2 linked regions of the Neurospora crassa OR74A genome follow. The protein of the gene in region 1 binds, or shares a complex with, the protein of each later gene. Links are inferred from orthologs where the notes say so. Each region holds a gene or a part of one and is shown in the gene's direction. Other genes may lie near its edges.

What was found. Proteins that work in one complex are often made in the same cells at the same time.
Region 2: NCU07471 (region 1) and NCU03911 share a complex: the UniProt entries of both Saccharomyces cerevisiae proteins name them as parts of the F-actin capping complex. The link is inferred for Neurospora crassa OR74A from reciprocal best matches to the Saccharomyces cerevisiae genes CAP2 and CAP1.

Annotation. Positions count from the first base shown.
Region 1 is NC_026501.1:520,717-524,251, forward strand, and holds NCU07471 (F-actin-capping protein subunit beta), read left to right. Parts: upstream 1-1,215; 5' UTR 1,216-1,452; coding exon 1,453-1,484; intron 1,485-1,694; coding exon 1,695-2,137; intron 2,138-2,279; coding exon 2,280-2,674; 3' UTR 2,675-3,022; downstream 3,023-3,535. Other genes in the region: NCU07472 (alpha-1,6-mannosyltransferase subunit), read right to left, coding at 1-192, 249-698, 769-790. UniProt on the Saccharomyces cerevisiae protein: F-actin-capping proteins bind in a Ca(2+)-independent manner to the fast growing ends of actin filaments (barbed end) thereby blocking the exchange of subunits at these ends.
Region 2 is NC_026506.1:2,119,632-2,122,806, reverse strand, and holds NCU03911 (F-actin-capping protein subunit alpha), read left to right. Parts: upstream 1-1,261; 5' UTR 1,262-1,377; coding exon 1,378-1,434; intron 1,435-1,495; coding exon 1,496-1,514; intron 1,515-1,576; coding exon 1,577-1,782; intron 1,783-1,855; coding exon 1,856-1,908; intron 1,909-1,972; coding exon 1,973-2,110; intron 2,111-2,183; coding exon 2,184-2,532; 3' UTR 2,533-2,673; downstream 2,674-3,175. Other genes in the region: NCU03913 (2-oxoisovalerate dehydrogenase beta subunit), read left to right, coding at 1-682, 743-780. UniProt on the Saccharomyces cerevisiae protein: F-actin-capping proteins bind in a Ca(2+)-independent manner to the fast growing ends of actin filaments (barbed end) thereby blocking the exchange of subunits at these ends.

The DNA of each region.
Region 1 (3,535 bases):
GGATTATGCGCTCCAGAGAGGTGGAGGGGACGACAAAGAGGAGGTGGAAGATGGTGGTGAAGAGGAGAAGCGCTACTTCGGAGCGGAAGATGACGCCAGCCATGACAAGTAGCGAGATGGCAGAGCGGTGGCGACGGTGGATGAGCTCCGGAGATTGCGGGTTCGGGAGGAGGAGAGCGGCGGCGGTAGTTGCTGATCGTGTTAGATTCCCATTATCCATGAGGATGAGGATGAGGCAATTCACTTACTCAGTCCGAAAGCAAACATATTCGGCAACGTCCTCGACGCGTAGAAAATGACATGGAACTGACTGGCCTGCAAAAGTAAATACCACCTGGCTGCCGAGCGTCCATAGGCACGTCTAAAATTCCGCGCAAACAAAAGAATAGCGGCCGCATTGGCGAGGCCTAGCATACCCCTCACAATGGTTTGGGCATGGTCGAAGCCGACAAGGTTGACGATGGGCTGTCCGAGACCGGCCAAGACCACAGGGCCAACAAAGGTTCGGGGTACAGCACCAGGAAAGGTGAAATGGTCATATGTTTGAGATAGTCGGTGATAGGCATTCTGAAGTGGCGTGCCGTACACAAGGACATCGTGGGTGGCTTGGATGTTGAAAGACTCCTCAACCTTGGTGTATGGGGCGATGAAGAGGTGAAGGAGGACGAGGGTTGGGATGAGGAGGTAGAGCCCCCAATCTGGCTGGACGGTAAGTCGCAGTGCGCATGCGAGTGTGAGAGTGTGTGCGAAAAAGGAAAGAAGACATACCCAATACAGACATTAGCTTCATGGTGTCTGGTACGATGCTTCACCTCATGTTGGTAAGGTGACGATGAGATGAAGAGATTCGGAATAAGGCTGTTGTTGTTGTTGTTGACAGTTTGCAAGGGGTCGTCGGCCAGGTAAAGATGAGCTGGCTGACTGTTGACTGTGTACAGGAAATGTGAACATAGGCGTAGTATAGCCTGAGGAAAGTGATGGAATGCATATATCAATACTTGATTAATTCAAATTAGGCGTACTTCAAGACCTTTACAATAGTCTTCTATGATTCATCCGGACTTCAAAACAGTTAATCTAAGAGTTATTGTGCGGATTATGCCTCTCATCGTCAAAGTTGATGCTTCTTGGCAAAGATTATCTCGTACAGAAACATCACCAGATGGAAACAAACAGTGCCATTGGCCGTGCGTGAGCCCCCTGAAACAGCAACAACGGGAACCCCACCAGTGCAGTGGAGGTTTCATAGCAAGAGGAACCCGACCCTGGAACATCCCCGCCGACTCAACAGCTAGGAACCACCTACCTAACATTAGCACCTGTCTCCATTGCCCTGGCCTGTCCGTCTACCCATCCGTCGCCGCGCCGCCATTTCGACCTTCACCGAGTAAACAAAAACAAACAAACAAGAGTATCACACTCCTTCCCACCCTTAGAGGAATATCCGTCAAGATGGCGACCGCAGACCCCTTTGATTCCGCCCTGTAAGTCTACCAAGTCGCAGAGTCCGCCTACCCACCACCCCTCCTTGCGCCCCAGCCAGATCTACACCGACCGCCAACTACATCACGGGCATCACCACTACCACCACCACCAACAACAACAACATCATCATCGCCATCACGAAGCGCGGCACAGCGCAAACAACCAGAGACGAACCAGGTCATATAAGCTGACACCCCTTACCCAAACAGCGACCTCCTCCGCCGCCTCAACCCCAAACACACGGCCGAGCACCTCAACAACCTCATCACCCTCGCCCCCGACCTGACCGAAGACCTGCTCTCCTCCGTCGACCAGCCCCTGACCGTCAAGCGCTGCAAGCAAACCGGCCGCGACTACCTGCTATGCGACTACAACCGCGACGGCGACAGCTACCGCTCGCCATGGAGCAACCAGTTCGACCCTCCGCTCGAGGGCGGCAACCAGGGCGGTAGCGGTGGAGATGGCGAGGGAGATGGAGGAGAAGGCGGTGCGGCGGGATCGATCATGCCTGGCGAGAGGGTGAGGAAGATGGAGATCAAGGCCAACGAGGCGTTTGACGTGTACAGGGAGCTGTATTATGAGGGGGGTGTGAGTTCGGTGTATTTCTGGAATTTGGACGATGGGTTTGCGGGGGTGGTGTTGTTGAAGAAGTGTGAGTTATTCCTCTGTCGTCGTCATTTGTTTTGGGTTGGACTGCACGGGATGGACCGATGCGCGTGAGACTCTTGCGCTTGCCGGAGCCTATCGACACTACATACAAGAACAAGTCTGCTAACCTACACTTATGTCAACAGCCTCCCCAACCAATCCCTCCTCCTCGGGCGTGTGGGACTCCATCCACGTCTTCGAAGCCTCGGAGCGCGGCCGCACCTCCAACTACCGCCTTACCTCGACCGTCATCCTCTCGCTGGCCACCAAGGGCAACGCTCTCGGCGAGGTTGATCTCTCGGGCAACATGACGCGCCAGGTCGAGCAGGACCTGCCTGTCGAGAACGACGAGAGCCACATTGCCAATATTGGCCGCCTGGTCGAGGACATGGAGCTCAAGATGCGCAACCTGCTGCAGGAGGTCTACTTTGGCAAGGCCAAGGACGTCGTGGGCGATCTGAGGAGTGTCGGCTCCCTCAGCGAGGGACAGAGGGATCGCGATGCGCAGATGGAGATTATTGGGAGTATGAGGAAAGCGTAAGCAGGCATGCAAGGGCTACTGTGGTGGTGGAAGGAGAGGAAATGGTTAGTTGGCAAAGACAAAGCGAAGCGAAATCGGCTATTGCTGTGTGATTAGCAGGCGTATTTGAAACGGTATTTTCGCGAGAAAGAGAGAGAGAGAGAGAAGAAGAGGGCGGGAAGACATGTGTCTCTGCTTGGTATGCTACATCTCTCTCTCTCCAAACAAATTCTAGTTAATAATTCATCACACACACATAAAGTTGTCTGAACTATGGTCTCGGTCTCACCGACGGGACTAGACCTGATCAGTTTGACCAACCCCCGGGACCGAGTATACTCCTCAACAGATCAGAGACAAGACACCCGAAAAATATCCCGGGTAATGCCCACACCCAACGCCATGTCTCTCAAAAACGGGATTTCGCATATCGATTACCTTCCGATCCTGCCGACCCCGACCTCTTCCCACCAAGACATTTTTTTTTTTGGAGAATTCCCGGTTGTTTCCTTATGGGTCAAATCACTGACTTTGTGGGATTTGGTGGTGAGACCTTGGTGTAACCAGTGCAGCTCAATTCAGTCCAGTTACTTCATGTCTACAAAGCATTCTATACCAAAAGTTTCAAGGGTCGTCTCGTATACGGAAGTTTTCCGCGATAAGTAACCTCTAGATAGGTAGGTATCGTTCGTTCACCGCTAGAGCGCCCTCGGCGGACTGAAGATAACCTAGGCACTCTTTTCGTATCTTTGTACCACAACACACCACCCAAGCAAGACCAAGACACCGACCAAGACCACGACCAAGACTGACGGCGGCGGCGGCGAAGGCGGCTCAAGGGCGGCTCGAGGGCGGCTCGAGGGCACGGCATGTACCCCGGGA
Region 2 (3,175 bases), on another chromosome or scaffold:
TTCGACCAGCTGGTGAACGAGGCTGCCAAGTTCAGATACAGGGATGGTTCTTGCGGGCGGAGTGCCGGGGGGTTAACGGTACGCATGCCCTGCGGAGGTGTTGGTCATGGTGGTCTCTACCACACACAGTCGCCGGAGAGCTTGTTCACACATATTCCAGGATTGCGAGTGATCATGCCCAGATCACCCATCCAGGCCAAGGGCTTGCTGTTATCCGCCATTCGCAGCAATGACCCATGTGTCTTCATGGAACCCAAGATCCTCTACCGTGCTGCCGTTGAGCAGGTGCCCACCGGGTCCTATACGCTGCCATTATCCAAGGCTGAAGTGCTGAAGGAAGGAAAGGATGTGACCATCATCTCATACGGTCAACCCCTATACAAATGCATGGATGCGTTGCAAAAGGCCGAGAAGGACTTTGGTGTCTCAGTGGAATTGATTGACCTCCGAACGGTCTATCCATGGGACAAGGAGACCGTGTTCCAGAGTGTCAGGAAGACGGGGCGCTGCATCGTGGTTCATGAATCTATGGTCAATGCCGGCATTGGTGCCGAGGTGGCCGCTGCCATCCAAGAGGACTCGGAAACCTTTGTTAGACTCGAAGCTCCCGTGGCTCGAGTTGCTGGATGGAGCATTCACACGCCTCTCATGTTCGAGGCACTTAACATTCCGGATGTTGCGAGTGAGTAACTGCATCCTTGTACGAGTTTGGTAAGAGCGAAATAAGCTGACATGACATTAGGGATATATGCCAACATCAAGAAGGTGTTGAACTTTTGATGATGAGCGGGAAAAAAGGAAGAAAATGGACAAGTCGTAGCGGGGCGTTTATAATAGGCGAGTTCGGTTCAGGCGGGTGCCGTCTTGTAAATCCCGACAAATACTTGATCTTATAACCATGCCTGCTAAAGGCAACTCAACCGACTGCCCTCAACAACCCCAAACCCTGCCATGTATGCCAGGGCTTTGCCATTTTCCGAACTCGTGATCTTGTAACTCAATTGTTTTTCATCGTAGCAGTGTTCTTTGTTTACAGACGTCGCAAACTTAAGCAGTAAGCCGGATTCAGGATATTACTTGCAACGATAATGCAGCTCGCCAGCTGTGAAGCCCCTTGACAGCTGTCGGCCTCACAGTATCCACATCCCACTTCAGGCGGCCCCGCAGTGGTTTGGTGCCATTCCATGCTCCCGTCCCACTGACGGCGGCGGACATGCCCAAGGCGCAGCTCCATCATCTCTAGCAGCGTGGTACCGTTGATCGATACCAGCTTCACCAACTAATATACAACGAATCAACCAACCCACAAGTAAACAACGCCGAGAAACCTTTTTAATCCTGTCTATTTTTTTTTAATTACCATTAGAGCACGGAACCATGGCGTCGCACAAGGAGATTGTGTCCTCCTTCGTTGAGGGAGCTCCCCCTGGCGAGGTGCGCATCCTACACCGACACCAACGAGCCGAATTGCGTATGCTGACATGTTGACGTACAGCTCGCCGATGTTGTTGCAGGCACGATATTCCCCTTCGAACTTGGATCGCGACCCTACTTTCTAACGATTCCGAGCTTTCAGACATCAAGGCCCTTACTAGCTCGACCCCTAATCTGCTGAACGAGCTTGGACCTGCGTTCCAAAAGTACAACGAGGAACAGTTCACGACGGTGAAGCTCCCCGGTGGTAGCCAACCTGTTATCATTAGCTCCCATAGTTCTCTGGAGGATGGTCGTTACTACGACGTCGAGAGCTCCTCGAGCTTCGCCTACGACCACATTACTCAGGTTAGCCAGCCCACTGAGCAGCCAATGGAAAACAGCGACACGTGGAACAAGTCAATAACCCAAGCGACTGCAGAAAGCCAGCGATGTTCAGAGTCACGTCCTAGAAGGCGAACAGACCGACCTGGTGTAAGGAAAACAAGAACCCCTGCAACATTTGAGGAGCGAAGGGCAGGGCTGATACCAATTGCAGAAAATCCACGGTCAAGGGGCTTTCAGCCTACGTCAAGGAGCACTTTCCTAACGCCGCCTATGGCGCGTACCCGATAGAGAATGACACCAAAGTCGCGGTTGTCATTGTCGCGAACAAGTACAGCCCGAACAACTTCTGGTATGTCGCTTTAGAACGGAGTCGATCGCCTTGTCGCATATTACCCGCCTTTTGCGTTAACACGAGGTAACAGGAACGGACGTTGGCGCTCGCTATACATCTACGACCCATCCAACAACTCCATTGAGGGCTCCATCAAGGTCGACGTGCACTACTATGAGGACGGAAACGTGCGTTTGTTGACTAACAAGACAGTCACCGCGACCGTGTCGTCGGGCACCGGCAGCGGCATTGCCAAGGAGATCTCGGTGAACGAGAAGAAGTACCAGGAGGAATTGAACAAGAGCTTCACAAGCCTCAGCGAGGGCGCTTTCAAGGGCTTGAGAAGACAGCTGCCGGTGACGAGACAGAAAATCGAGTGGGACAAGGTCGCCAGCTATCGCCTGGGACAGGATATCGGTGGTGGAAGCTCTAGGCGGTAATGGGTGTATGGACGGATGGACCTGAGTAATATAAGCCTAGGTAGTACGAAGGAGAGAGGGCGAGCACTGCTGGCAGTGGCCAAACCAAATTCAAGTCAGTACAGAAGAACCAAAGAAGGAAGAGCACAGCTCACTCATGTTTGCCGTGTCAGCGGCTGTTCGGGTGTGTCCGTGATCGCTGCCCGATGTTACAGCTGTGGGGAATTGGTTGAATGGGTCCCGCAACATTGCTCTAAGAACGGAAACTTGTCTTGGTGATTTCCCCTCACCCAGCACTAGATAACGAAGAAGGGGACGGGTGTCTCGAGTGCTACACACTTGCCACACATATGAATGAGTGCTCCGGGAGCTGGAAAAACAACAACCTGAAAAAGGTGGGAGGTGCTCGCGACGCAACAGGGCGATGGAACCGAGTCGCAAACCCGTGGGTGCCGTGGGATGTTCCCGGTCGGGGTTGACGCAGTGGCCACAATTTTGACTCGGAGTCTTCTTGTTGAGCGCACCCGTTTGCGCCAATCACACGCCTCTGCGTATTTTGCCTGTTTCTGATTCGGTCTAGCTACCTCAGAAGGCTGCGTTGTTTCGATTTTAGGCTTGTCAAGCTACCTCTATCTCCGTCTCAGTACCCAGGAGCCAGGGCAGT